Saccharomyces cerevisiae S288C: one gene and its partner. The protein of the gene in region 1 interacts with the protein of each later gene in a pairwise test. Each region holds a gene or a part of one and is shown on either strand. Other genes may lie near its edges.

Region 1 (4,559 bases):
ACAGCTCACATTCCCGTCGTCGTAATCGTGATCGCGCAACTAGAAGCATGCATGAACAGCGCAGAAGACGTCATAATCCGAACGAAAGGGAGCAACATCACGAAGACAGTGAGGAAGAAGATTCGTGGTCGCAATTTGTAGAAAAGGACCTGCCAGAGCTTACGGACAGAGCCGGTCGGTCATTACAGGACACAGCAAACAAAGTTAGTAACTGGATAAGTGATGCTTACCGGAGAAACTTTGCGTCAGGTAATGAGCAAAACGACAACCAACATGGTCACCAAGATCAGCAAGAATGGGAGCCAGAGATTGTGGATTTGTCACAAGGCGGGAAAAATTCAAGACCCCAGCAACCTGAGAGAAGAAGATTCAATTCGTTTGGCGTTCAAGTCGGTGATGACTCTTTAGAAAGCCACGGAATCACACTACACAACGAAGATGGATTTGAAGATGATGAAGATGTGCCACCTCAGTTACCAACGAGAACAAAATCTGGTGAGTCGACTGGAAAAGTAGTGGCAGAGACAACCTACATTGATACTCCAGATACAGAAACGAAGAAGAAATGGCAGCCGCTACCACCGGAACCCCTGGATACTACACCAACTAAAGTAAACGCTGTTTCTAGAAATAAGAAAAATCCGGATGAGGATGAATTCTTAATCAATAGTGACGACGAGATGTAAAGCTGATATCTACGTACATGTGTATACGTGCCAATATTTGGACGCATCTTATTTTACGCGCTTGTGAAGAACTCACTACCTTCTTGAAGGAAGTAAGAAAAAATTTTCAGAATTGTTGATAGTCGTATATCTTCCATTATAACTATTGTTAGCTATTAATTCAGATAATGTAGATAAGATTGAAAACATAAATTCATCATAAAAAAGAATAGGTCTTTTACGGCACCCGTTCAGACACTTTGACACTTCAAAGTATATGCATCAGCACACTTCTGACCATTCTACGTATTGTAACAGCAACATGAGTTCTTTAAAACTCCAATTGACATTTTCGTAATGTGTTTTGCATATCATCTAAATTTCAATGACAGATTTAAAAAGTCAAGTAATTAAAAATTTTCATAAGCGTGCTTTTTTATAGTGCGAAGAACGGCAAAGGCAACCTTAAGAAAAAAAAATGATAGGTTACGTGCTATATCCGGAAAATAAAGAAAGATGAGTAAGAGTTAAAGAAAGAATTCAACCAACCTGATGGGTGTATGAAAATCCCGATTTTATATCGACAGCGCTAGCATGCATGAACAGTGTTTTGACGGTCAAGAAAAAACATAACCTCTGCATAATGTACTTACTTATCAAAACGTTGCAAATCTTGTATGTAAGAGGTGTTTGGGTGTTTTTTCCAAACGACCCGAAGGAGGGCAATTCAAAATAAAAAAAGCAAATTTTATCAGGAAGAGAAGATTTTAGTCAGAACGGGCCATGTTCAATGGCCAATTTCTTATGCTCTAGAGTAATAATTACTAAGGAGGAAAGTAAGACAAAAAACGGTCTATCGTTGTTTTAAGTTTACAGCATAGGCATAGTGATAGAGTGTGAGAGAGTCTCTAACTCGGCGTCAGTTTAGAGTCATTTTTTTCTTTTCTCCCCCCAAAGGTCATAAGAAGATAAGGATCCAAATTTAGAAGACAAAAAAAGTTTTGTTAGAACGTTTATCCCATTAAAAATAAGGGAAAAGAGAAACAACGTTATTTAGTGATTTTTTTAATTGAGAAGCATTTTCTCCAGTGATAATTTAATTGTTTTTTTATTCGGAAAAGAACAGAAAGCGCAAGAAGACAACTCCTTCACACTTAGGCTATTAATTTTCCCGCCTCCCCATTAATTGATAAAGATAAAGGTTGTCTGAGCTTACACTTATTATAAACAATGGACGATATAATCACGCAAGTTTCTCCAGATAATGCAGAGTCCGCTCCGATTCTACAAGAACAGCAACAGCAACAGAACTCACAGTACGAAGGTAACGAGGAGGATTATGGTGATTCATTGATTCATTTGAATATTCAAGAAAACCATTATTTCATTACGAGGGACCAGTTGATGTCTCTACCTGAATCCCTATTACTGTGTTTATTTCCCTCAGGTGTTTTTTTGGACCGTTGTGGTCAGGTCATTACTAATTTGACCAGAGACGATGAGGTCTACATTGTTAATTTCCCTCCTGATTGTTTTGAGTACATCATGGAGATATATACAAAAGCGCATGATGATTTGTATAATCATCCTGTGGAGAAATTTTTTGACAGACCATCAAGTAGCTTTGTTTCGAATGCAAAGGGATTTTTTGGACTGAGTAGCAATAATTCAATTTCGAGCAACAATGAGCAGGATATTTTACATCAAAAGCCCGCTATTATTGTTTTGAGAGAAGACTTGGATTATTATTGTGTACCTCAGGAGGAATTTCAGTTTGATTCCACTAATGAAGAAAATAATGAGGATTTATTGCGACATTTTATGGCTCAAGTGAAAATGGCTGCTGGCAGTTATTTAACTTCAAAAACATCGATTTTCCAAGGTTTGTATTCTTCGAATAGACTAAAGCAACAACAGCAACAACAGAAAATTGAAAAGGGGTCCAATTCTTCTTCAAATACTAAATCTACTTCGAAAAAATTGGGACCTGCTGAACAACATTTAATGGATATGTTGTGCTCCTCCGGATTCACCAAGGAAACTTGTTGGGGTAACAGAACTCAAGAAACTGGCAAAACGGTTATAAGTTCACTGTCTCTTTGCCGATTGGCTAACGAGACAACTGAAGGATTTAGGCAAAAATTTAACGAGGCTAAGGCTAAGTGGGAGGCAGAGCACAAACCTTCTCAAGACAACTTCATCACCCCAATGCAATCTAACATATCGATTAACTCTTTATCTGCAAGTAAATCTAACAGTACCATTTCTACAGCAAGGAATTTAACAAGCGGAAGTACAGCACCTGCTACAGCACGTGATAAGAGAAAATCAAGGCTGTCGAAACTAGCAGATAACGTTCGTTCGCACTCTTCCTCGAGACATAGTTCGCAGACCAGAAGTAAACCTCCGGAGTTGCCCAAATTGTATGATCTAGTGCCAAAACCTAATATCAACGCTAAGCTACTATTATTTTGGAGAAAACCTGCTCGTAAATGTTGGTGGGGTGAAGAAGACATAGAGCTAGAAGTGGAAGTCTTCGGCTCTTGGAAAGATGAATCAAAGAAAATCATTGAATTGATCTTGCCAACAAACGTTGATCCTGAAGCAGAACTACATAAAATCATTGTACCCGTCCGATTACATATTCGTAGAGTTTGGACTTTAGAGTTGAGCGTTATTGGGGTGCAGTGAGTGTATATAATATATTAGAGAAAGAAATGGAAAGAGATCGGGCCAAAGACACAATATGTAACAGTATGGTTTCTTGGTATCCCCTCTTTCTATTCCTCCCTTGTTACGAAATGATGTATATTTGTATCTCTATAACAAAATTATATGAACTGTCTCAAAGCACATGAAGAAGGAAAAAAGGTGGCGTCGAAGACTGCTAGATATTTCTCTTCGTATCTTCCCATCCCCTTCTGCAAATAACGGTTTTTCCATTGTCTATTTCAAAGTTACCCGCATAATAAAGTCGTACATTGTTCGAAAAATATCACTCAAAAGCAGCATTGATCCGGTATAAAACAATAGAAATTTTTTTTTTTTTTTATTGTTATAATTATTCTGACTCACGTCTGGATTTCGTTAGTTCGTCATTTTTTCTTAATTTCAGTAAACTGTGATCACGAGTCTGCAACATCATTATACACCGTATATCTGTATTATTAAGAATCAGGGTCTCCTTTTAATTTGCTGTTGAAAAACATCTTAAGGGAGTGTGATTGTCTGTTGATGTATACTAGTCTGGTAAAGCTAAATATTCTTATAAAAAACTTTTGGTAACCCATTATTACAGGAAACAAGATCCATTTATCAGATAAAAATTATAAAACATTAAGGAATCAGGACCTTTTTTTCGACAATCATGATAGAGGCGTTGGAAATAGTTCTATTGCTCGTTATACAATCACTTCAATATATCTGTCGCACATGCATAGCTTTTTTGCTAATACCATTCTTAGGCCTGTATGCATTCGATCTCTTCCTATACGTTTATCGGATGATACTTTATCTGTCACAAATGTTCAATTACAAGAGAAAACTAGGACGTTCTAAAACAAATAATAGGCCGCATAGTCCCAGGCTACATAAGATATACAGTAGTGGGGATTGCATGGATACCTTAATTGGCCAAGTAAGGGATTTGAGAGTATTTTTGTTATCCACGATCCACAGCCACTCTAAAAGATTCTTTTCTACGAGATTTCAGACAAAATCAGGCATTAACTCTGCTATTGACGCGAATGATGTTGAAACAACATCTGACGTATCTAGTTTTACAAATTTACATTTAACAAGGTCATCGGAAGAAGGTTATTATATCGCAGGATCGATATAATAAAAGAAAATATGGAAAACCCTTTCATGGGTGTTTGCACGGAATTAGGATCA
Region 2 (4,122 bases), on another chromosome or scaffold:
ATTCGAGAGAAATTTATCATACGAAGAGAATGCAGCATGTTTTCCAGGTTAAATATTCCATGGATTCTAAATATATTATCAGTGGATCTGATGATGGGAATGTTAGGCTATGGAGAAGTAAAGCTTGGGAGAGGTCTAATGTCAAAACTACTCGTGAAAAGAATAAATTAGAATATGACGAAAAATTAAAAGAAAGATTTAGACATATGCCGGAGATCAAAAGAATCAGTAGACATAGACACGTGCCACAAGTCATCAAAAAGGCTCAGGAAATTAAGAACATTGAGTTGAGTTCTATTAAGAGAAGAGAAGCTAATGAAAGGCGTACTAGAAAGGATATGCCATACATTTCCGAAAGGAAGAAACAAATCGTTGGTACCGTGCACAAATATGAAGATTCAGGAAGAGATAGGAAAAGAAGAAAGGAAGATGACAAACGTGATACTCAAGAAAAGTAGTTATTCTGTTTTATGTTGTCTGTATATACACATATGTACAATATTTGCATTTTTTTAATTTTTAATTCACATGTATTTGATAAATGTTCACGCCAGTCCCGTTAAATTAAAATTACCATTTTATTAGATTATGAATTTATATATGAATACATTGTGTCGTAATGGTAGAAGAAGTTGAAAAAAAAAATGTCAAGGGACAGCATGGGTACAGTGTGTTGAGCCAAAAAAAAAAAGAAAAAAAAAGAAAAAACTTTTTGTTCTCTGGTTCTTTTCTTCATCTTCTTCATCTTCATTCTTTGGTAGCGGGGGCCACAAGAAATTCGGGCGAAAGTGCTCATTATATTGTTACATCCAAAATTTTGCCCACATCCAGTGAGGTTTTCACAGAAAGGTCTTCTAAAAGAGGAATAATATCTAATAATTCGTTATCATGAGTATCTGAGAACCAGGACGAAATCGGTATTGCATGTTGGGGATGAAAAATATAAGATGCCGGAGAGTTATCGAGAATGATGATATCTGATAACGGCCTTCCAATCTGGGATAAGTTTTTTATATAGTTTCCTTCATAGTTATAGCAAGCCTCTCTGAATAATCTGTGATGAATGACTTTATCTGTGTCTAATATATCAAGCAAAGGATCACCGTATCGAGAGACACTAGCCGTGAAGACTACAACCTCGAATAATTTTCCGACTCTTTCCAAAAATTCTTCCACACCAGGTCTTTTAATGACATAGACATTGTGTACTTGGTCATCTATTTCCACAGACAAAACAAAATCCGCAGATCGTAAGTATTTGAAAGAAGAGTGTACCAAGGTTTCATCCAGGTCCAGTATTAGGCATTTCTTGCCCTTTGTACTTTCATCTTGTGGGGGGAGCAGAGTGTTGTAACCTGGTGCATGATACTGGCCCTGCTGCAAAAGCGTTAGATCAATATATTCTTCATCTTCATCGTCTTCGTCGTCGGCATCGTTGGAAGTTTCACTGGCTTGAGAGCTGCTACTTACCCTACTCAAATTCATATCTTGGATAAGATGGTCAGACGATACTTGTACAGTAGGCCCTCGCTGCTGCGACTGCGACTGCGACTGTGACTGTGACTGTGACTGGGGTTGTGGTTGTGGTTGTGACTGTTGTTGTTGTTGCTGCTGTTGTTTTTTCTGCCTGGAAGTATCTTTCACAGCATCTCCTTTTTCCTGTACAATGCCACGACTGCGACGGTTATCTTCATCGTCGATCTCTTCATCTTCGTCAACCTCGTATTTTTCCTCGTAAAGATCATCTTTACTAATTCGCTTCTCTACTTTTGTCATATTATTAGTAGTAGTGGCGGTGACGGCTGCAGTCGGCGACGATGGCTTCTTTTTTTCATTATCGTTCGTGCTTATCCCAGATTTACCGGTGGATCGTTCAGTGGAACTGAAAGTAGCGGCTGAATTTGTCTTAGAAGGAGGAGAGTTTGTCTGATGTACGCCACGGGTTCGGCTTTTCGTGTTGGAATGTTTAACGCTTCTGTTTTTATTGAGAGAACTGCTCTGTTGTTGGCGATAAGCAGAATTGGAATTGGATTGTGTCGTCTCGGAAGAGCAGCACAGTATTGACGATATGAAACCCATACTGTTTTGCTACTTATTGTTGTTAAAGCTTACGAACACGAATGTAGGCAAATAAAAAGCTTGGATAAACGCACAATGAAAGGGGAAGTGCGATTGATTATGCTATAAGGAATGACACGAAGAGAGCAGACTATAGGCTAGGCAGGCGATAAAGGAAGGAGTTGTACTTGACGACAACGTAATAAAGAGTTCAATGAAAGAGTATTGTGAGCAGTATGGTTCAACGAGCACTTCTTCTCGACACCTATTTCTATACTTTTTCACTTAATATACACTAACTAATCCCAGACTTTTTTTTTTTTCCGTTCTTTCCAGAAAAAAAAGAAACAAAGCAAGCGTGCCCTGACTTAGGGTTTCCTAAAAAAGTTATTAGGTTTGTGTCACGTGATACGTCCTTTTCTGGTCACGTGGTCTTAGAACACTCTTAAGGGGCCAAGCACAAGAGGACAGTGCTAGCAGTAGAAGTGGTGTAGTAGTGATGAGGTAATGTTAATTGTGCATCGCACATATTTACAGGTAGTATATACTATAGTTTGTGAATACCTATTCTTATATATACAAGAAATGGTTGTCGGCAGACTGTCAGTAAGACTAATTTGCACTTGGAACTTCGAAGCCATAACCCTTCATGCACTCTTTGTACTTTTCAATGAATTCCTTGCATTTTTCAGAGTCTTGTCCATTGAATAAGATGCATGTATCCCGCTCCTCCTTTTCTGGCTTACAAACGCAACATGGCTTAGGTTTGTCCTCGCACTCCGCGTGGTTTTCTTGTTCTTGTTTCTTGTCAGTTTCAGTCATTGGGTATAATTGATTGTGTAGTTATCTGATTGTGTACACTAAAATTTTGTTTAGTTGTACTAGAGACAAGTAGTTAGGTGGTTACTAGATTCTGATTCGCCGCTATATATCGTCATTTTATCTTTTTTTGAAGGAGATAGGTAGGGTTATAACATTATCCGGGTAATGATTTGAAAAAAAATTTTCAAAAAATGCGATGAGATGAGGTTGAAAATTGTAAGTTAGAATATGCTTAGATAGTATGAGTATTTACGTTGGTAACTTGGGTTTCGAATTGGAGCTGTGTGCCTACAACAGCGTCTTATATATATACTATGGTGGTAGGAACTAAAAAATACTCTAATTTGGACTTTGTCCCTACAATCAGTGACAGTGAAGACGATGTTCCAATTCTAGATTCTTCTGATGACGAAAAAGTCGAGGCTAAGAAGACTACGAAGAAGCGGAAGGGTAAGAATAACAAGAAAAAGGTTAGTGAGGGGGATAACCTCGATGAGGATGTTCATGAGGACTTGGACGCGGGGTTTAAGTTTGATTTGGACGCCGATGATACCACTTCGAACTTCCAAGGCTGGAACTTTCTAGCAGAGGGCGAGTCCAATAAGGACGATGCCGAAGCTTTTGTGAAGAAGGACGTTGACTTGGATAAGATTATTAGAAGAAAAGGTGGGCTGGTGAAAATGGCCCATATTGATAGTAAACAAGAAGAAGAAACCGAGAAAGAAAAAGTAGAAAAAGAAAACGATAGCGACGATGAGGAATTAGCAATGGACGGGTTCGGTATGGGAGCTCCCATGAACAATGGAGACGAAAATCAGTCAGAAGAAGAAGAAGAAGAGGAGGAAAAGGAAGAGGAAGAGGAGGAAGAGGAGGAACAAGAAGAGATGACGTTAGAAAAAGGCGGCAAAGATGACGAAATAGATGAAGAAGACGATTCTGAAGAGGCAAAAGCCGATTTCTATGCGCCTGAAACTGAGGGAGATGAAGCTAAAAAGCAAATGTACGAAAATTTCAACAGTTTGTCTTTATCTCGTCCGGTTCTTAAGGGCCTTGCAAGTTTGGGTTACGTCAAGCCTTCCCCTATTCAAAGCGCCACAATCCCCATTGCCTTATTGGGTAAAGACATCATTGCCGGTGCTGTGACTGGTTCCGGTAAGACTGCTGCGTTTATGATTCCCATAATCGAGCGTTTGTTGTATAAACCAGCCAAAATCGCTTCCACCAGAGTTATTGTTCTATTGC

What was found.
Region 2: the proteins of WHI2 (region 1) and PSR1 interact in binary tests that used the Saccharomyces cerevisiae proteins (3 or more experiments, as listed by UniProt).

Annotation. Positions count from the first base shown.
Region 1 is NC_001147.6:408,975-413,533, forward strand, and holds WHI2 (Whi2p), read left to right. Parts: upstream 1-1,895; coding exon 1,896-3,356; downstream 3,357-4,559. Other genes in the region: ubiquitin-binding protein CUE5, read left to right, coding at 1-686; IRC23 (Irc23p), read left to right, coding at 4,033-4,506. UniProt on the Saccharomyces cerevisiae protein: Plays a role in the coordination of growth and proliferation. Required for entry into G0 phase under conditions of carbon limitation.
Region 2 is NC_001144.5:128,535-132,656, forward strand, and holds PSR1 (phosphatase), read right to left. Parts: upstream 2,080-4,122; coding exon 796-2,079; downstream 1-795. Other genes in the region: rRNA-processing protein SOF1, read left to right, coding at 1-458; copper metallochaperone COX17, read right to left, coding at 2,671-2,880; DRS1 (putative ATP-dependent RNA helicase), read left to right, coding at 3,195-4,122. UniProt on the Saccharomyces cerevisiae protein: Has phosphatase activity in vitro. Involved in the response to sodium and lithium ion stress (but not to potassium or sorbitol stress) by inducing transcription of the sodium pump ENA1/PMR2.